Linked DNA regions of Notamacropus eugenii. The protein of the gene in region 2 interacts with the protein of the main gene of each other region in a biochemical or structural test. Links are inferred from orthologs where the notes say so. Each region holds a gene or a part of one and is shown on either strand. Other genes may lie near its edges. The genes, in order: CALR and MBL2.

Region 1 (10,950 bases), on a different chromosome or scaffold from region 2:
TCATGAACAAAGCAGTCTATGCTAGACCTTGGTGATAGAAACAGCTACAATCAAGGGCTCTCAACTTCATGGTCTAACACATAAATATCTTGATCACAACACAAACTATAAAAACCAGTCCTCATCCTGTCATTCTGGCAAGAAATTAGGATAATTTCAACTCACCAAACCCTATATACATACTCTGACACAGCAATCACTGGGATTTATGTACGCCACACTAAGTGATCAAGAGGGAAAAGGGCCCATATAAATAAAGTGGGTGGTCATTATTTGGGGATGACAATTTCTGCAATTTCAGGGGGGAAGAATAGAAACTTTATGTAATAATGCAGAGTAGTACAGAGCCAGAATTCATATGCTGATGATAAAAATAACTCTAAAAGAAAAAAGCACTTTTATCAATGAAATTACCAGTGATAACTGTAGAAAACTTGGAGCAGGCTTCCCTTCAAAGAGTGGACAGACTGGTACAGAATGAATATACATTTTCAGACACTGCTATTATGTGAATTTTTTTCCCTTGACTCTGTTACCAGGGAGGGTAGAGAGCTTTGTATTGGGAGTGGTGGCTAGTGATACTGATGGGAAAGAAAATTTTAAAGACTCAATAAAAAAATAAGTTACCCAGAAGAAAGAAGTTAGGTGGTAAAGGTTCTGACAGTGTTATTATTACGTTAAATCTTACTTATAAACTCAAAACTGAATAGTTACTGTTAACAGGTCCTCCCAAAAAGCTTTCCTTCATAATCCAGTCTTTTGGCTCCTGGAGAGAGGCCATGGACCAGGATCTCTCCTGTTGTTTGGAACTCTGAGCCCTACAGCACAGGTGGGGAAAAGAAGCTGACCAGAGGCACAGAGGCCATCTTCTCTGGCCAGAGCAGCCACTAGACAGACACTTCACACTGACCAGAACCCCAGGGATCTATCTGTTCCACCCCACTAGCTTAGGGCTGGGCAGCAGTTCAGAAAACTGAGAAGCTTACACTGCTCCCCTCTCCAAGAAATCAAACACATGAGGGAGACACAAAACTTAATTTAATAGAAATTTCTTTTTTTGTTGTTCTTACATTCTCAATGTGACCAAGCAAGAACTGACAACCCCTCCCTAACCCTCCCCCCCACAACAGGGGCTCTGCCCCCACCCCTGCCCTCAGCCCAGGCAGAGGGGAAAAAAGGGAGCAAAGAGTTTGGCTTAGGCACTGTTGGCCAAACCCTAGCCCCCCTCAGTGCTATGGGATACCTAAGGGCAGGGCCAGGCTGACTGACCCCCCTCCTCCTCCTCTCTGGCTCCTGAGGATGGGGTAAAAACAGAGGAGCCAGGACTTGAGGCCAGTTGGGGAAAGGAGGCAGCTTAGTATCGGAAGTCTCTATCCCTGGGTAGTCAACAGGGAGGCTGAGCATCCATGCAGAGTGACACCTTGGATCCCCATGCCCCTGAGCCCATGGCTGAAGGGTGCCCCCCACTATCTGCCATTCCCAAGAGGCTCTTGAGGGCAGAGGGACCTGAGGGAGAGTGGATGAAACCGACACCAGTTTAAAAAACAACAAAAACAAAAACCCACCCAGCCCCAAACAACCCCACCTATTGGAAACAGTTCTCCAGTCTCATAGAGACATTAGTTGGCTCCTGGCCTGGCCCCCCAGGGTGCTTCCAGCCTCAGTCCTGGCCCCTACAGCTCATCCTTGGGCTGGGCACCATCCTCATCTTCCTCATCGTCCTTCTCGTCCTCTTCTTCATCCTCCCTGTCCTCCTCATCTTTGTCCTCTCCGGCCTCTTCTTCCTCCTTCAGCTTCTTTTCCTCTTCCTCCTCACGCTGCCGTTCTGCCTCATCCTGCTGTTCCTTCATCTTCTTCTCAGCCTCCTGCCAGATGCACACACCCCCACCTCAGAGCCTGTTCTCCCACCCCAGGCCCATCCCTGACCCCCAGACTCTGGTATCTGAAAGGAGGGATGGGCTGGAGTAGGAGGCCAGGAAAAGGGCCCCCTCTAGGAGACAGGGTCCTCCCAGGAATCCTGGTCTTTCCTCACCCCTTGCAAGGAAGGAGGAGTTACCTTTGTGGCCCCCCAGGTCTCTTCACCAAACTCTTCTGCATAGGACTCATCATTGGTGACAAGGAAGTTATCAAAGATGGTACCAGATTTCACCTACAAACAGAGAAAAAGGTGAGAGAGGTGGGGCCAGGACTCTCCACTTTACCCCCTGCAGAGTGCAAAGCAGAGTACCATTCTCCTCACCTGCCACAGGTCCAGGCCCAACACACCAAAGCTGTCATATGCGTAAAGGTTGGGGTCAGGTGTGTACTCAGGATTGTCAATTTCAGGATGCAACCACTTGCCCTTGTAGTCAGGATTGTCAATCTGTCGGGGCTTCCATTCACCCTAGAGAGGAGATTGGGAAAATTGGAAAGGTCAAACATGGGCTGCCATCCCATTGTCCTCATACTCCCCAGACCCCATCTGGCAACTGGCTGGGAAGCCTCACCTTGTACTCAGGGTTCTGGATCACTGGTGGCTCCCACTCCCCATCCATCTCTTCATCCCAGTCCTCAGGCTTCTGAGCATCAGGGTCAGGAATGTGTTCAGGTTTCTCCCAGTCCTTGGGATCAATAAGTAAATGTAATCAGACCTCTAGAAACCCTTTTTCTCCCAGTTGGGGGGTTGGGGGAAAGGGGAATGGGAAAGGATGGATGGTCACTGGACAGGGATTAGCCATGAAGAATTCCCAAATGCAAGCAACCTACATCTGGCTTTGTGTCTGTGGGGTCATCAATCTTGGCTCGCTCATCCCAGTCCTCAGGCTTCTTGGCCTCAGGATCTTTGATTTTCTTCGGAGGCAGGAAGTCCCAGTCATCTTCCATCGAGCCTGATTCTACTTGAACATTGTCTATCTTCACTTCATATGTGTTGTCTGGCCGAACAATCAGGGTGTACAGGTGGGTGAACTCATCATCCTATGGGAGGACAACAGTTATGAAGGAACCAAGGTCTCACAGGTCTTGGACCCTTCCCTCTGCCTCACCATCTGTTAGGTAGTTTACCTTGCATCGAATGTCCTTATTGATCAGCATGTTCTTGCCTTTGTAGTTAAAGATAACATGAACCTTCTTGGTTCCTGGGCCGCATATGTCAGGGCCTGAAGAAGGAATGGGGAAACTGATCAAAGAATCCAGGACTCCTGTCTCCCAGTTCCCCAAAGCCACTATGAAGGGCAAGTGGGAAGGAAGGACCCTAGGGTCAAGTCACCTTCCTTCCTCAATCCTTAGTTTCCCACTGATGAGATGGTCAATCTCAGACTCTCATTTTAGGGACTCCCAGAACCACAGAAGGAAGGGACAACAGCCAGTCCTATGGACACTTACCAAACATGATGTTGTACTCTGAGTCTCCATGCATGCTAGCCTGGTCTAGGCTAGCAGGGAACAGCTTCACATAACCACCACCACAGTCAATGTTCTGCTCATGTTTCACAGTGAACTGCACCACCAGCGTCTGGCCCTTGTTGCTGAAGGGCTCCATGCGTGAGGACAGAGCATAGAAGCGGGCATCCTGGCTTGTCTGCAGCCCTACAGGCATGGTGAGAAAGTTGTCCCCAAGGTAAGTAAGGGGTATCCTGCCTCATCACTCACGGTTCTTCCCTACCAGCAGCCACTCACACTGAGTCTTCTGTCCCAGGTCCAATTCAATCCTGACCAACCCCCTTGCATGGATACAGCCTCAATGGAATCAGAGGAAATTTCAGAGTTGGTAGGGAGATTTAAACCTAACCCTTTCCCTCTTTATGGATGAGGAAATCGAGGCCTAAATGAAAAGTACTTCTCCAATATCACATCTCTGGCAGGAGGCAGCCCCTCACCTTTGTCCTTCTCTTCATCACCGTAGAACTTCCCGGACGAGAGCCTAAACTTGCCATAGTCACTCTTGTGCTTGGATTCCACCCAACGATCTTCCCAACCCTCTGAGGAGAGAAGGGGGTTAGTGTCCTCATGTTCCCCAACACTGGGGAAGTACAACATGTGAGAAGAGTCTGTGATCATCTTTCTATCCCTGTCCATCAAAACCTAGCTTTCCAAGGGACTCACTCATTCTAGGTACCAGCTGCTAAGGAAAGGCCCCTCCAGAAACCATCTCCAACTAAACAACACAGTCTCGGGCTACCAAAATGTTCGAGATGGAAAAGGACCTTTTAAAGGACACCCAATCTAAACCCTTTCGTTTTGTGAATGGGGAAATTGACCCTCTCCCAAAAAAGAAAAGGGTTTATACAAGGTCAGCAAAGCACGGAGGCAGGATTTAGGGCTGAAATGCCACCCGGGGGCCTTCTGGTCCAGCCTCTTCATTTTACAGTGAATGAAAGCAAAGACTCAGAAATTAAGTGATTTGCCTGGCACCTCGCTTTATGCATTCATAAGGGCATGTTTTAACTCTCCAGGAACCAACCCCGCCCCCTCACCTCCACCCCAGGTTTCCGGGGGCACTGACGATATCAGAAGCAAAGAGAGGGTGAAAGGTTCCAAGCTTCAGACCGGGCCCCGGGGGTCTCTGCCCAGTGGACCCTCTCTGCCCCTCATTTCCCCTCCCCCACCCCCAAGTATCAGGCTTAGAACAGGCTGGGGAAAGGGTCGAGGGAGAGGGCAAGCCCGTGGTCGGCTGCAGGAGGGACAAAGGTCCCGGGGACCCAATGTTGGACACCCTTGAGGCTAATGGAGGAAGAGGGGCCCCCGGGGAGGGCTGTAGCCACCACACCGGGGAGGCAGCGCTGTCCCAAGGGGAGCGGACTCCCGGCGGCCGTAGCGCCTCCCACGCCGCTAGGATGACAAGAGGGACCCGGGCACGACCCCCTCCCCTCCCCCCGGGACAGCAGCGGCTGGAGCGGGTGCGCGCGGCCCCTCCAACGTCCCCCCACCCCAGCAGGAGGCACTCTAGGCGGGCTAGGCGCTCGGGAGGGCCCGGGGAGCCCCGGACGGGGCGGGACCGCAGGCCCGGGCGCCCCTCGTTTACCTCCGTCGAGGAACTGCTCCTTGAAATAGACCACAGGCTCAGCGGCCTCCGCCAGGCCTAGCAGGCCCAGAAGCAGGAGAGGCAGCATGACGGGAAGGGTCAGGTAGGGGCGGCGGGGATCGGGTACGGACACAGAATCCGCAGACGACAGCACTACTCCGGCTCTGCAGTAGGGACAGCCGCCGCCGACCACCGACCGCCTTTATACCCGGCCCCCCTCAAACCAACACCGCCCAGCCCGTGTTCCCGCCCCCTCAGCATGTCCATTGGCTGCGGGACCCGCAAGGCCCCTCCCGATTGGCCCCGAGCCGGCGCAGCACTTTAGGCTGCACCTCGGAACGCTGGGTTCCCAGATGGCCGCTTTCTATTGGCCGTAGCCACGAGCCAATGAGGAACGACCACGCGTTGTGGGGGGGACGCCTACAGCACTTCCAGAAGGGGGAGGGAAGCAGGGACCCGGTTCGAATCACGTGATAAGCTGGCCAGACTCTTCCCACCCTTTCCCCCCAAATCTCCTGTCTGCAGTTTACTCCCCTTATTCACCGTTTCTTAAAGGTCGGGGCCTAAGAGAAGTGGATAACTCCCGACTCCCCCAACCCCAGGCCCCTCTCCGGAGCTTCCAGCAATCCTTCGGCTCAGGAAAGATGCCCTCCTTGTGCCAGGACCCCCCCTTTCCCCCGCCTCCCCCGTGGGGTCCCAGCCTCAGTCTTCAACCCCGCTGGCCAGCAGTACTTCCCCAGGGACCTTCCCTGTAGCAGCATCCACATGACCCTTGGGGTCCTATCTCAACCTCCCAAGCTGGAAGCACCGTCCCCAGCCCTGCTGCAAGCCCCAAAGGTTTCATCCACCCACAAGCGTAAACGGTGCCAGGTCAGATCCTGGGTGGACAAAGGGACAGAACCACCATAACTGACCACAAGGGTGCTGCTCAGAAGTATGAGGTCAAGCCCCACCTGGGTGACCTCGGTCCTGTCATTTGGCTTTCAGACTCAGGTTTAACTAGAATTTACACCAGGCTCTCAGTGTGAAGATTGATTCTTGGGAAGAGTCTGAGGAGTGATTGTCTAATGTGACTGTGGCAGGACAGGACAAAACTTAGTAGGGTGCATAGAATTTCAGACAGAGTCAGATGACCTCAGTTCAAATGGAAGGAATCTCATTTTTCGTATAAGGAAATATATACAGGAAGCAAAGCACTTGTTTCAAGACCACCACACAGAAAGTAACAAGGTGAAATTGAAACAAAAATTGTCTGGATTGGAAAATCCCTGACTCTATGACCATGCTAGTTCTATCCCAGGTGTACTTAGAGCCTTGTGACCTTGGGCAACTCCCTGTCCTCTTTGGAACTTAATTTCCTCATATGTAAAATGAAGGTTCGGATTAGCTGCTGTCACAGACTCCTAGAGTAGGATTAGAGTTCAGAGGTGACCTAATCCAATACATATCTGAACAATACTCTCCACAATATTTTTGAGTAGTGATCATCTCATTGTAATTTGAGCCGCTTTCTCCAAGTTTTGATGTAGTAACACTTTTAGGTCTTGGCTCCTTCTTCAGCTACCAGAAGCCTGCCTCGGGGCTAACCGAGGAATCCTCTGTGTGGCTCCTCTATCCTTATGCAACCAGCCTTTGTACTTGAGGGGATAGGGGCAAATGGGCACTGTGGTTTTGTACCCAAACTGTACAAACTGCTGAGGTTTTGTAACCCAAACGGATTGGCCTGGTTGAGTTGGGGGCTGGGGAGCCAGAGAAGGAAAAAGTGGCAGAGTGTGTTGGCAAGATAAGGTCTGGGAGGGGAATGAAAGAGACTCAACTGTCATAAGGGACCCCTTCTGGCAACAGCTATAATTCCTTTCCTCAAGTTCAGAGCTGAGCCCTCAGGAATCAACCAATCAATATTTATTAATTGTCTACAGCTTGGTAGGCACTGGGGAATCAGGAAGAATGAAACAATCCCTACATCCAGTAAATAGGAAGAAGAAAAGAGGCCCAGTGCCAGCCATACCTGTTCCTCTAAGACATATAGTCTCTTGGAGGTTTGTCAGAACTTAAGGCTGGCAATCAGACTTCTGAGCTCAGCCTCAGACAATACGACAGTGACAGTGTGCTCTCCTGGGTTAAAGCATTCAGGATGGTACTCCAGTTTTTTTAGGATTTAATGTTGGAAGGCACCTTAGTTCAATTTATCCATTTTATAAATGAGGAAACTAAGGCTGACAAGGACAAATGAACTGTCCAATGTTACACAGGTAACAGGTCCAGGATTTGTTATCTAGCTAAGTTTTCTGAATCCAAATGTAGTGTTCTACTGTACCATGCTGCCTCTGAGAATTCAGTCTGGGGTTGGAAGCTTCGAGGTGAGGCGGAGAAATTCACACTCAACATCAAGAGGTTGTGCCAGGATAAATTACAATAATTTACAGTAAACTATAAGAGAGGGAACAATTTGGGGAAAAAACTCATTAGTTCAAGAGGAAGAGTGGCCATGGGACAAGAAAGAACAGATGATCAGGTAAGTCCAAGAGTCAGTTCCTGACCAGGACTAGGTGAGGAGAACTGAATCGAGTTCTTAAAGATAAGGAAAAGAGAAAACAGTGGTTTGGACTAGTGAGTGGCAGGATCTTTTAGATAAAAGCAAAAAAACCAAAAAGGTCACTAGGTTGGGGGAGGGATAGCTCCAGGGCCTGAGGGCCTCTTCCTTCCAACTGTATTCTAACATGACTGGCTGGTTCCACAGGGTAGGTGTGAGAGGATGAGTGGAGCAGGGATGGGGAACCTTCCACCTCAAGGTCACATGTGACCCTCTAGGTCCTCAGGTGGGGCACTTTGACTGAATCCAAACTTCACAAAACAAATTCCCTTAATAAAAGGATTTGTTCTGTAAAACTTGGACTCAGTCAAAAGGCCACACCCAAGGACCTAGAAGGCCCTGGTGGAGCTTCAAAGCAAGAGGTATGAGAACTCTTATTAGACCTTCCCAGAGACTCAAGTTGAGTCCACCCAAAGGCAGTGTTGTCAGAGGAGCAGAGCTCTAATACTAGCTCTACCTATGCTATTTTTGTTTAGTCATCTTTAGTCTGGGTCTCTAGTTCCTTACTGGTCATAAACTGAGCATTCCTCATCCAGATGTTAATAACTGCACTAACTACATCCCAGAGTTGTTCTAAGGAAAAGTGCATGGCAGACTTAAAGTATTATAGAAATGTAAGTTGTTATGATTGTAAATATTAAGATAATAAGGACTAGAAGGTCTTGTTAACTCTCTATGAGTATAGGTCCTGTCTCCCCAACAATATGGGGGAGAAATGGAAAGGGGGTGTTTATAATAAAAAGAGCCAAGTTTGAGCATGAGCAAAACTCAGTTCTGGTCTTAGCTATGCTGTAAGACCTTGTCAATTGACTCCTTTCTCTCTGTGGCTATTTCCCCATCCTTCAAATTCAACTCAATTCAACACAAATTATACAAATGCATACAATGTGCAAGGCCCTGACCATAAATAACCTTTGAATCCTGCTAACCCAACATCACTAATATGGTTTTTAAGTGAAATTACAAAGACCTTAGTTTTTCATCTATAAAACAAGAGGGTCGGATTCCATGGCCTCCGAGGCCCCTTCCAGCTTAGTGATCATAGTGGAAAAGTATTTCAGAAACTTCAAAATGCCTTAACAGCCATAATTCTCTCCTCCCCTTAACCCACCAGGTACCAAACACAGGTCCAGGCACACAGTAGGTAGTCAGTACAGACAGTTCTTGCTTTAGATAAGTGGACTCTTTGACAGACTTCTTATGTAAATCGATTTTTATATAATGTCAATTTGTCCCTACCTACCCAATTCAGTTAGGTATATGCAAAATAATGCTTTACATGTCACAAACTATACTAAAATGCAGATATATTAGATGTTATACTAAAATGCTGATATATTAGACATTATACCATGATAATAAACAGAATTATAAAATGAAAGGGAACATTAATGATAAAATATGCACAGTACTATTCAATCAAGTTAACCAAAAGTTTGAGCAACTTTTTTAATGAAACTATCAAGAGATGTTTAGACAGTGCTCTACATGGGATGATGGCAAGCCATACCATCCTCAACTAGTCTTTGAACTTTTAAAAATCTCGGAGTAATTGGATCCCTCGTTTCAATACGGGGGAAAAAAATCACTCAAATGATGCAAACCATTTCATGGCACTCTTTTTTGGTTCATTCAGCCTTGGGTTCCAAAGCCTCCCTTTCTTCTTTTGCCATCTTTACAGCTAGCAGCTCAATCAGTTTCTTTCAAAATTCTTTACTAAAGTCTAATTTCCAATGCACATATCCCCAAAGCTAGAACTGTCCCGGTTGTAACAAAAATCCCTCAAAGCATCAGAATTCAGAGAAATTCCATGAAAACAACCATCCTCATTTCTGTAGCGTTTCAAAGTTTACAAAGCACAAGGACTTTGGGACGAGGGTAGGAAAGGGATTATTTTATTGAAGGTATGGGGAGCGGGAGAGGACCTTAGGGCCCCTGGGCATTCAGAGGTCACACGGAGGGAGGCAAGCTAGGCGGCCATAGGTGTCAGGCCCCCCGCCTGCCCCGGGCCAGGCCCGGCTTGGTTTTTTTTGTGGCATCGCCGCTGCCCTGGGGTTCCGGGGGCTTGCACAGGCCCAGGCCTAGGTGAGGCTCTCTGCCGGCCTATTCTGAGCGGGGCCTGGGGGCCGGGGCCGGGGTCGGGGCCCGGGCCCGCGGTGCGGTCCGGGTCAGGCCCGCCCTAGCTGTGAGGCCCTGGCAGTCACCCCTGCCTTCTCCTGGCCCAGAGGCGCCGGCTCCTTGGCCTGGGAATTCGTGAGTTACCCTGTAGGGTCCCAGGTTGGAGAAGGTCAGCGAGGGCTTTGGCGGCCGTGGGGCTCGGCACGACCCAGGAAGTCGGGGCTGGGGCCCAGCGAGGAAGGGCTGCCCGTCCCCTCTCGGCGGGTCTTCCACTCTGACTCCGCCGCCCCTCCGACCCTGCCCTACTCCTTTCCCCTTCTTCGTCCTAGCCCAGCTTTAGCGCATCTGCCTCACCCAAGATGGCGGCCCGTGCCGAAGACTTGGCTCACGCCACACCCAAGGTGGCGGGCCCCGCTCTTCCGGGCGGCCGCGCTTCCGGTTCCGGTGCGTTTCTCCTCATCCTCACGGCGCAGACATGGCTGACGGGTCCGTTGCTCAGTTGCTTTTGCAGCGGCTGGAGTGCGGCGATGGCGGCCTGGACAGCCTGGAGCTGGCGAGCGCTCTGGGCTTGGAGCACCAGGTCGTGGTGGGCGCTGTCAAAAGCCTGCAGGCGCTGGGGGAGGTAAGGCGGTGCGGAGTCTGCCAGTTTGGGTCGGCTGATGCAACCGGGCAGGGGACCAGGCAGAAGGAGCAGCCGCGTCCTGGGCATGGAGCCGGGGATGGGGCAGGAAGAGGGGATGTACTTAGGGGTGGAGGGCCAGGGACGGGGCAGGAGGAGGGGCTGCACTTAGGGGTGAGGGCCAGGGATGGGGCAGGAGGAGGGGCTGCACTTAGGGGTGGAGGGCCAGGGATGGGGCAGGAGGAGGGGCTGCACTTAGGGGTGAGGGCCAGGGATGGGGAAGAAGGAGGGGCTGCACTTAGGGGTGGAGGGCCAGGGATGGGGCAGGAGGAGGGGCTGCACTTAGGGGTGAGGGCCAGGGATGGGGAAGAAGGAGGGGCTGCACTTAGGGGTGGAGGGCCAGGGATGGGGCAGGAGGAGGGGCTGCACTTAGGGGTGAGGGCCAGGGATGGGGCAGGAGGAGGGGCTGCACTTAGGGGTGGAGGGCCAGGGATGGGGCAGGAGGAGGGGCTGCACTTAGGGGTGAGGGCCAGGGATGGGGCAGGAGGAGGGGCTGCACTTAGGGGTGAGGGCCAGGGATGGGGCAGGAGGAGGGGCTGCACTTAGGGGTGAGGGCCA
Region 2 (11,263 bases):
TATAGCCAATGCAAAGGCATAGAGAGAGAAAAGGGAATGTCGTACGTGAGGAGCAGTGAAAGGGTCGATTTGACTGCATGGAAGGGAAATAATGTGTAATAAGGTTAGAAAGGTAGATTGGATTAGGTCTTTGCGAAAGTCTTTGAAAGTCAAACAGAATTTTACATTTGATTCTAAAGGTAACAGAGAGTTGATGGAGTTTATTGAGGAGAGGAGTTCATGGTGAGACCTTCACTTTAGGAAAATGCCTTTGGCAGCTGTGTGGAGGACAGATTGGAATGAGGGGAGACTTGCAGCAGGATGACCAACTAAGAGCTTATCTCAATAGAGCAGTGAAAGGTACTAAAGTCCTGAGCTAGTGTTTAATACACGTTACTATGTCCAAGGCATTACACTGGGATACATTAGATGACCTCTGAGTTCCTTCCACCTCAAAGATTCTATGATTTGGGGGAAAATTTGTGATGACCTTGGTCAATTTTACTAAGAAAGGTTGAGGATTCTCTCTCCCTTCCTGTTCCTATTGACAGGTTTAGTTTGTTTTCTATTAAATCACTGATTCCTGAATATTTCCCATTGCCTGAATTGTCTTAAAGTTCAGTTCACTGTCTGGCTCCTTGATACCCCAACAGCTACAGGAAAATTACTTGAATGGGATCAACCCCTCCAATCATCTGCTATTTGATTGTTTTCAGGAATAATTACTCAACTCTATTTCCAGATGAAAGCTGAGACAGGATGTCCAGCTAAATCATGAAAAATGTGTTAGGAAGAATATGTACATGCATTGATGTATATGCATGTGTGTATGCTTGTGTAGGATATTTCTATAACTGCTGAAAACTGAGACCTACTTTGGACTCTGATCTTTAAAAATTTTTTTATGGATAACTTTTGTTTTAAAATTTCTTACATTTTCTAATGTATCCCTCCTGCCTGTCTTTCCCAAAGAAGCATCACTTGTAGCGTAGAATAATAAATAAAATGCAGAAAAAGGGAAAAAAGGTCAGCCAAATTAAACACTGTATTTTAAAAAGTCTAATACTATATGCGGTGTTATACACACACAGTTTCTTCTGCAATGAAACAGGGGTAGGAAAGGGGAAAAGTGTTGGGTCATAGAGGAGGCTTTACCAATAGAAGGGGACATTGGACTGTACTGCTAATAGGATATTTGGAAGAGGGATCATCTGCTTACTGGATCTGAGCCCTAAATCCCTAAATGGCCTCCTCCTGGCTAGGGCCAGTACAAAGAAGATAGAGCCTTACCTGAGCTGTCTCCTGTATCTCCTTTCATGCCTGCTGGTCCTGGAAATCCTTGTGGCCCTGGGTGCCCTGGAGGTCCCATTTTCCCTGGAGGACCCTGGATACCTCTGAGTCCTTGACCTATTATTAGGCAATAAAAACTTATCTTTGTATTCAGTGTTTTAAAAATATTTGAAAAACTGAATTTTATTGTTAGTTTTTGTTTTATATGTGGTCTTTCCCATATATACCCATTCAACCTCCCTATTACCTACCAAGATCCCTTTCTTGAAACAAAGAAAGTTGTGGTTCCAATTACGTGGGACAAGCAAAGCCTTTTAAAAAATGATTCTATTTTGTGACAGAAATAATCATATGTGTGTGCTTCTAATGACACCAGACTAAGTTTTACCTTGACCAAATGGACACAAGGTAAGCTGATTTCTCCACTTTGATTTTTGTTAGCTGAATAGTGGATCTGGGACATACATCTTTCATTATTCTCTTGTGTTTTTAATTCTGTAGAATTTTTAAAGAAGGGCTATTCCTTCATGGAAACTTGTAAAAAGTGTAGCTGTCAAGGATCACACTTCAATAACTATTAAAAGTATTGATGACAGGGGTATGGGAAAGTCATGCATTTCAAGCATTTTTCAAATCCACAAGAAATAAGAGCAGTCTCAACAAAGCACAAATGGTAGTGAAGTCCAAATGAAAAATAATGCTAACAGCTGACAAAATGTTGCTGTAAAATAACTTGATTATTCCTCAGAAAATAAGTAAAAAGCTTTGTAGGAATCTCTTGACTAAAAGGATTGTTTTCAATCTTTCTATAGTATGGTGTAGACTTTTTTTAAAGTTGGAAGAACAGTGAAAATCAGTTGCTAACTCTTACTGTCAGTAAAAAATGCTTTTCATGAGCAAAACCATATAAAGACTAATGTACTAAAGATTAGAAAATGTTAATTTTTTACTAATGAACTTATTTTTTCATTCAAGGTCTTTTAATTCCAAATCATTTTCAGAAGTCCAGATAAGCTTGCAAGATCTGGCCATCTTCATCAGACTGTAAAACATTCACTTCCAAAAATACTTGAGGGATTATTTTACATTCAGTAAGCCTAGAAGTTTTGTCCCAACTGAAGAAAATAATAAACTCTGATAATTCTATTGACATACTAGCAAATAGAATTGCTTTGATATTACAGGAATTCCTCAATAGCAATGCAAACTTGTGTCATGCCACAGGTCATGAAAAGCTAAGAAATTTATTCAGAAACTGGAGAGAAATATGCTTCAGTTCCCAAGAACTTGTTTAATTTAAGACCTAGCAAGAATCTGTAGGCTATAATCGAGGCTAGATTTAAAAAAAATGATTATTTTACAATTTATATCTAATTCATAAGTATGTTTTCATGAATTAAGAATTCAAGATTATACAGATGAACTCAATGCTAAATTACATGTAACAAAGACTCACAAGAAATGGAGGACATCTTACACATTAAATATTTTTGAAAGACATAAAAGTCTTAAGACATCATATGCCAGGAAATGTAATTACCCAATTAATGAGTATACCACTGTAAGCAAAACCACTTATACAGATGGGTATGCAGTCCCTGAACTCATAGTCCTCTGCTTCTGTGCAAAATGGAGTGAAATGAGCAAAAAATATTTCACTGTGATCTATATGTGGACACCTTAGGAGGATATAAAACAAACAGGTGATCTCATGAAAGAGTTCCCAGACTTTCTTCCCAGTATTTAGTGTTTACTTTAAATCAAACTAAGCAAGCAGTATTCCATGGGTTTCCCCAAAGTGGGGTGGACTGAGAGATTCTCAAGAGACAGCTTTTGAAAATGGCCCCATATACTGCCTATTTTGATAAAGCGCCAACATAATCCTTCCTTTGACTTCTTGGAAACTGGGGTGTCAGATTACCAGAGCTAGATAAATAGAACTTCTCTGATCATCTCACTCTCTTGTTAGAGGAAAAGTTTTTGGACAGAGATTGAATCTAGAGAAACAATTCAACATCACTGATAAATATGACCTCATATGTTGAGTCTGAACTCTTAGAAGAGGCAACCATCACATGGGATCACCTGGTGGAAATGAAGACTCAGGGAGAAGGATCCCAATTAGCATGTACCTGGTTCTCCTTTTTCTCCCTTGAGCCCATCTCTTCCATCTTTTCCAGGAGCCCCATTTGCCCCAGGGGTACCACAAGAGACCACGGAGCAGCAGGTCTGCTCGGTCGTCTCACTCAAAATTGGCTCTGAGTAGACAGCCATGATGATGAGGAGGAGTGGGAACCAGGAAAAGTCAATCATTCTTCAAACCTTGGAAGGGTAGAAACTTGAGGTCAATTGATTTAGAAAGAAAAATGGCAGGGATTTTCAACCAGCCTCACTCTTATCCTTCTTGCTATTGTCTCCTCCTGGTGGTGCTGCCACCAGCTGTCTCTTTTCCCTCCAAAACAGCCAGTTTCACTGCTTTGGATCCTGTCAGTCTCTTGTTTTATTGTGTTTTATTGACTCCCCATTGTCTTCAAGATTAATCAATCCAAACTGATTTGGAAATCATTATACAAGGGAGTCCCCACCCTAATTATCCTGACTTCTTTCCCATTCTGTCTGAATGAGAACTCTCCATTAAAGACAGACACATCTCTTGCCTTTCCAACCCATATGATGTATACTCATTACCCTCACTGCCCAGATTAGTCTGACTGCTTTCTTCTACATGCCCTCTATTTCCTAGGATCCTCTATAGTGCCTAGCACAGGACTGGACATACAAAATTAATAATAAAATAAAATTTTAAAAATCTTGATATACAAAATCCTTCCCTCTCTCCTTCCCTTCCTCTGTCCCTCTCTTCCTCCCTTCCTCCCTCCCTTCCTTCCTTCCCTCCCTTCCTCCCTCCATCCCTCCCTTCCTTTCTTCCTTTCCATCTCTTCTCCCTTTTTCTTACTTTGTTCATTCCCACCTATGGTTCAAACCTGCAAAAAGTTTTGTAAATCTTGTTTGTCCTTGCCAGGAAGTCCACAGGGTGAGGGTGGGAAAGTTGCTAACCCTTCAGTAGGAGACCAAATAATTCTATGTCCCTTTTTATTTTGCCTGAACCAGATCTGGCCTATTTCTAAAGAATGCCATACTTCCAAAGGAACCAAGGGACCTAAAAGGAGATGAGGAATATCAAAATAGAAAGACCTTTAATCATAACTCTAGTTGATTGAAACATTGCCTGAAAATCTATTGGAAAGTCCCTTTCCTGGAATCAAGTTAAACATACAGATCTTTGACCCCAGTTCCACAGGCTGTATTTCTGATCAGAAACTTACCTGACATACAACAGGAAAGAGATAACAGAACAGAGTGTCCTCTAGTTTAACCCAGAGAAGACGGGAAGAGGCTGGATTCAACAAGATATAAAGAATCACTCTGTTTACATGGTAGAGGTCTGTCCTTGTTTTGCTTCCACAGATTAATAAGCAACTGAATCAAATATCCAGCTGTTATTCTCATTGCTCCCAATGGATAATGACAGATTGAGACAGAATCACAGAGACAGAATTTCAGAGCCTGCAACACATACCTAAAAATGAGTTCCCTCAACAACATACTTGAAAAGTGGTTAGTTAGCTTTTCATGAAGACCTTCAATGAAGGGAAGTCCTTTATTGCCCAAGACAGTCCATTGCATTTTTTAGTAACATACTATTAGTAAACTTTTCCTAACTCTTCTCTCTGGGATCAGTCTAAGCTTCCACATGACAGTCTTTTTTGTGTAACAAATAAATAACTATCCCATACCTGATTCCTATTTCCACCTTTGGGGAGACCCTAGATGAGATGAATCTGAGCCAAAACTAAAAACTTTAAATGCTAGAGTGGGGTACAAAATGAACCAAAGAGTATGAGAAATGGGATTCTAACTTCTCTCATTAGAGGCAGGGTTTTCCAAGGCTGATGCTGTTTGGACCATGTGCACAGGTCCATAGGGGTCCCTTAGTGCAAAAAAGAGAAAATGCTATGCCCAAACCTGGGGGCTCCAACCCTAGGTTGTTAATGTTAAATTGTGAATTTAACAAACCATAAAGGAACATGAACATTTCTATGTACAAAGAACAAAAAAGAGGATGGTGTAGGAAACTGTGAACTGTTACGTATGTTTTCAAAGTATATATTAAATTTAACACAATAACAACAAAACTTCCTGCTATTAAGCTATTATCCCTATTAACCTATGTATCTTTCTCTCTTCTATGTTTATTTTTAGGGCTTCATTGATGGACTTTTCTTTCTTTTCTTATATTTTTTATCACTGCCCCCACCGCCCCACTTCTCTATGTACTACCAAAGCCCTTTCTTGTAAACAGTAAGTATAGCCCATCAAAATAAAACAAGACAACTTTTTTTGAGAAATTTGCTCCAAAGATTCCACCCAGTGAGCTGTTTCCTTAATAATTCTAACTTGAATAATCAAAACTTTTTTTGGTGCAAGTTCTCAGTTTTAAGGAACAACAAATGTCTATTTTTAATCTTTTATGATCACCTCTAATCCTTGTTTAATTAAGAATTCTTCCTTCTATTCATGGTTTTGAAAGGTATATATTTCTTTCCTCTTTCTTCTCTGGTTTACAATATAACCTTTTATATTCATATTTTAAGTCATATAACCCTTTGGAGCTTATTGTTATACATAACGTGAACTGTGACTTTTAGGACAGGATCTTTTCTTGGATTTTGACTTCTAAACTTCTAGGTGTTTTGACTGCCTCTTTTCTTCTTATGAGGTAGCTATTTTCTACAGTATCTACACTGGTGAATATCAACCAGTTTTTATTTCCCTCTTTTCAGTTTACAGCCCTTTAGATTAGACTTAAAAGAAGTAACATGGTATAGTGGACAGAGAACTAGCCTCAAAGTCAAGCAGACCCAAAATCAAATCCGGCCTCTGATACATAACTGGCTATGCGACTCTGGACAAGTCACTTAACTAGAGCATGGACTCTAAGCAATTCTCCAAGACCCTAAATTACAAATAAGGTGCTGACCTGCACTGATAGAAGGAATTTCATCACCTGGGAGTTCCCTATACCAATGAGATCACAGGTGGAATACCTCTCTCCTTTGAATAGACTCTCAATACCCTAGCCAAATCGAGTGAGTTCTTGTTAGGTGTATGTCTGGCCTGAAGCCTCTCATTCCTATTTGTTAAGCTTTGGTCTAAAAACCCCATTCAAATTCTGGGATACGATCATCTTTCATTATACCACACACACATATATTTAGCTTTTATTTATTATTTTATTTTTCCCCAGTTGCATCAAATTTTTTTAACATTTGTTTTTAAAACTATGAGTTTAAAACTTTTGTTTTACAACTTTTAAAAAAACTTTGAGTTCCAAATTCTTTCCCTTCCTTTCCCACTCATAGAAAAGGCAAGCAATCGAATATAGGCAAAACATATCCATAATAGTCACGTTGTGAAAGAAAACATACACAAAAAACTCAAGAAAAATAAAGTTAAAAAGTATACTTCAATCTGTATTCAGACATTATCAGTTCTTTCTCTGGGGATGGATAGCATTTTTCATCATCAGTCCTTCAGAGTTGTCCTGGATTGCTGTATTCTGAGAATAGCTAAGTCATTCACAGCTGATTATCTTACAATATTGCTATTACTTTGTACACCATGCATTTTACTTTGCATCAACTCATGCAAGTCTTTCCAGATTTTTCAGAGAGCATCCTGGTTATCATTTCTTATAGTACAAAAGTATTCCATTGTAATCACCTACTACAACTTGTTCAGGCATTCCCCAACTGATGGGCTTTTTCTTGACTTTTAATTCTTTAGTCCCAGAAGAGAGGTGCCATGAATATTGTGTGCATATAGGTGATTTTCCCTGTTTTTAAAATCTTTTTTGATCTACAGACCTAGTAGTGGTATTGCTAGGTCAAAGGGTATGCATGGTTTTATAGCCCTTTGGGCATATTTCCAAATTGCTCTATGAAATATTTGAATCAGGTCACAACTCCACCAACAATACATTAATGTCCCTCCAACATTTGTCATTTACCTTTTCTGTCCTGATAGTCAATCTAATAGATATGAGGTAGTACCTCAGAATTGTTTTAATTTGTATTTCTCCAGTCAGTAGTGGCTTAAAGTATGTTTTCATATGACTATAGACACTTTGGGATCTTTCAAAGACTGAAGTCAAATGACTTTGGTTCAAAACTTACCTCTGCTATTTATTATTTGTGTGACCCTGGGTAAATCACTTAACATCACTGAGTCTCAATTTCTTCATTATTAAATAAAGGGGTTGAACTCTACATGGTCTCTCTTTAAAACCTACATACATGACCAAAGGAACTGTGTTCCCTATAGAGCTGAGGAAGGAAAGTGGTAGCCTGCTTTGGGGAATTCAGATACCATCATTCTTTCAGACTATGGTTATCTTTTTCTTTCTTCTTCCCCTCCTGGACCACTAGTTCAGGAAAAGCACCAGCCATTCTTTAATTCACTCCCAACTCTGTCTCCTCCATAGACTTGCCTGCTACCTTCCCTCCTTCTGTCCTTCCCTACAGTTTTCCTTTTCTTTCTCCCCTCCTCCCTCAAAGATGTGTAACTATTAAACATGATCATATCAACTGTTCTAGTGTTCTTGTGTTGGATGTGCCGATTTATTCCCCTGTGACCTCAGTCTATTCATCATCCTTAAAAATTTCTGGACCAAAGCATTCCTCTCTGTTCACTACTCTTTGTGTGTTGCCTCCTTCATTAGATTATAAGAACCTTAAAGGTCTTCACATTCCATTTTTGTATTTCCAGCACATTGCATTGTGCTTGGCACATAGTAAGTGCTAAATAAATGACTTTTTACTCATTGATTCATATATGTCCATATTTCATTGAGCAACCTTTCATAAGAAGTTTAACTTCTTCTCTATAGGAAGAACTTAAAACTGATTGTATTTCAATACCAGAAAGAAGTTGACCTTTAAAGATAAGACATTCTTTCCTCCCTTCCTCTTCTCCATCCTATACATTTTTATATCTATAACAGCATTCTATGGTTTCTTTAATTGAAAGGCTCTTAACTGAGCAACAAAATAAAAAAATAAGTCCTGTTTCTCTCATCTCTCCTTCAAGTCAAGTGCTCCCTCTGGTGGTCTCCCAAGAGGCTCTTGGATTTGTTGCATACAGGTGTATCGATGGTTCTCCTCTACAACAGTTTCATCCTGTGTTTTTTTTCCCCACCAGAACTGTGTAGGGAGATCCTGGTGAGGCATTCCCTCTATAACTGCAGATAGGTATTTTCCATGCAACTAATAGTATTAAAAATTTGAGATTTGAACTACTCAGTATCATACAGATAGTTTGTTGTATATTTTTAAAATTAAATTTTATCTTTTCAATTTACAAAAATACATTTTTCTCCATTCTACCTTCCTCCTCCTCATTAAAAGACAACTCCAACAGAATAAAATCCTTCTAGCAAATACAATAGTGAAAGAATTTCCTCCACTGATCATTCTAAAAAGATATATATGTGTGTATACACACATATGTGTATGTGTGTATACACATACATACATGCATAAACATATATAAATACATATACCCATACATACATTTATATACTTTGATCTCTGCCTTGAATTCATCACCTCTCCACAGCCAATATTTATTAGCAGTACAACTTGAAATCAGTTCTATTTGATGCTGAAGCCAAATCTGATTCTCTCTTGAGCTTAGTCATAGCCCGAATCTTACTAAATCTGTCCAATGTTAATAATGCTCTGCAGTAGAGGACACTATGGGCAGGAGTCACTATGGTATGAGCTAAATTCGACCTAGAATGGGATTATTATAGGCACTGTGCTAATCATTTTAAAATATTATTAAATCTGACTCTCACAACAATCTATGAAGTAGGTGATATTATTACCCCCATTATACAGAGGAAGAATCTGAGGCAGAGAGATGTTAAGTGACTTTCCCAAAGTCACACAGTTTCTAAGTGTCTGAGGCCAGATTTCAACTCAGGTGTTCCTGATTCCAGGTTTGGTATTCTATCTATTGTACTACCTAGCTAGAGAGGAAAAGGAAGGAAGGAAGCAAGGAAGGCTGAGAAAATGCACAGTAAAAGCCTGTTTCCATGCTATCCAAATAGCCTATTTTCTGGGAAAGAAAGAAGGCACAGGGAATGAAAGGTCACTGATCAATAGATAGTCAGCAAACATTTCTACAAGTTCTTGATCAGGATGCCTTGGGTAAGAGACAGGTGTCCTTTGCTTCTATAGGAATGTAAGTTTCTCTTCCTCCATCAGTCATAATTTTCCAAAATAGGCAGCCATCGAGTATCTTTTTAGACTTTTTGGTCCTTTGTGCCATGAGGAGTCTTTCTCTATGAAAGATCCTGGATTTCAGGAAAGTTATATAGTTGGAAAAGCTTACCTTTCCCTCTTACATAACCACACTAGCTAGATCATGACTATGAAAGCAAAGGCTAGGATCAAAGTGGGATCCTCTTTTTAGGATGTTTAGTATGACGTGAACCAACCATTATCTCCTCTCATACCCTTTTAACTTCCAGCCTTGGACCTTTGAATTTATCACAGAAACGAAAATGATCAAACTTATCACTTAAAATTTATTTTTATTATAAACTTAACAAATAGAATGGGCATTTCCATATACGTATTGAACTGGAAAAGAAGATTTTTTTATGTAGAATTTGCTTTAAATATACATAAACAAGCATATACATGTATGCATGTCTATATACGTGTATGTCACACATATATAGACATGCATATGTTCACACATTCAGCATGTGACTTTTAAAGTTTTCCTTCTTATCTATAATTCTTTCTGGGCCTTCATTCTGTTCTCTTCTCTTCTATGCACTTAAAAATCTTCAGTGGCACTCTTTTTTTCTTTTTTAACTATCCCATCCTTAATCCCCATCTCTCTCATACTTCCTCAATTGAAAAAAAAATGCTTAGATTTGACTTTATTTGTGCTGATAATGTTTAATATAAAATTTTGGAATAATCTCTTTGTTCTCTCTGAAGCAAACTCAGAGAATGCCGCTTCCTATGTCAACAAAAGCCTGCCAGGGCTGACTTAACATTCCTCAAGAGATCTTTAACCTAAGACACTATCTTGAATAATGGGACATTTTCCATATTTTAATATTTGTAGACATATACTATGTTATGGCATGTTAATGGTAAAGAAAACACAGACATCTTGGGTCGTAATTTCTATGTGAAACTTTGTCAAACTCTGTTATCTTATTGTATTTACAGCCTATGCAATTAAGAAATTCCTTTCTAATGGTCTAGTTAGTCACTTATGGAGATCATAAATCTAAGGGACACAGAACACTTCTTTGTCCTAAAACATACTTAAGGCTGCCCAGTTCTTTGTGTCGGTAGCCAGAACATTTCTGGCTCCATAATGCATTATGTTACCGTTGTCTTTAATAGGGAATTGATTAATTAATTAATTAAATCATAAAATGTATGCATTTAGCCTGTTGCCTTTTCTTTAACCAAGTTTTCAGGTCAACAGTGTGAAAGTATTTTGTAATTGTGTTCATATAGTTCCTGGGCTGGTTTTGATGGGTAGACTCCCAAGTATTTTATGTTGTTTACAGTTATTTTAAATGTATTTTCTCTTTCTGTCTCTTGCTGCTGGACTTTGTTGGTAACATATAGAAATGCTGATGATTTATGTGGGTTTATTTTCTATCCTGCAACTTTGCTTAATTTAGTTATTTCAAGTCTTGTTCTGATTGATTCTCTAAGTATACCATTATATCATCTGCAAAGAGTGATAGTTTTGTTTCCTCATTGCCGATTCTAATTCTTTCCATTTTTTTTCTTCTCTTATTTCTATAGCTAACCTTTCTAGTACTATACTGGATAATAGTATAATATATATAGTATAGTATAATAGTATAATAGTGGTGATAATGGGCATCCTT

What was found.
Region 1: the proteins of MBL2 (region 2) and CALR form a complex in vitro, tested with the Homo sapiens proteins (2 studies listed by BioGRID and IntAct). The link is inferred for Notamacropus eugenii from reciprocal best matches to the Homo sapiens genes MBL2 and CALR.

Annotation. Positions count from the first base shown.
Region 1 is NC_092875.1:77,929,981-77,940,930, forward strand, and holds CALR (calreticulin), read right to left. Parts: upstream 5,259-10,950; 5' UTR 5,091-5,258; coding exon 5,003-5,090; intron 3,960-5,002; coding exon 3,858-3,959; intron 3,568-3,857; coding exon 3,364-3,567; intron 3,138-3,363; coding exon 3,043-3,137; intron 2,956-3,042; coding exon 2,746-2,955; intron 2,601-2,745; coding exon 2,487-2,600; intron 2,384-2,486; coding exon 2,240-2,383; intron 2,150-2,239; coding exon 2,057-2,149; intron 1,866-2,056; coding exon 1,674-1,865; 3' UTR 1,021-1,673; downstream 1-1,020. Other genes in the region: FARSA (phenylalanine--tRNA ligase alpha subunit), read left to right, coding at 10,189-10,335. UniProt on the Homo sapiens protein: Calcium-binding chaperone that promotes folding, oligomeric assembly and quality control in the endoplasmic reticulum (ER) via the calreticulin/calnexin cycle.
Region 2 is NC_092872.1:227,505,645-227,516,907, forward strand, and holds the start of MBL2 (mannose-binding protein C), read right to left. Parts: upstream 4,702-11,263; 5' UTR 4,596-4,701; intron 4,453-4,595; exon of another isoform or gene 4,226-4,452; intron 3,592-4,225; 5' UTR 3,583-3,591; coding exon 3,402-3,582; intron 1,387-3,401; coding exon 1,270-1,386; intron 1-1,269. UniProt on the Homo sapiens protein: Calcium-dependent lectin involved in innate immune defense. Binds mannose, fucose and N-acetylglucosamine on different microorganisms and activates the lectin complement pathway.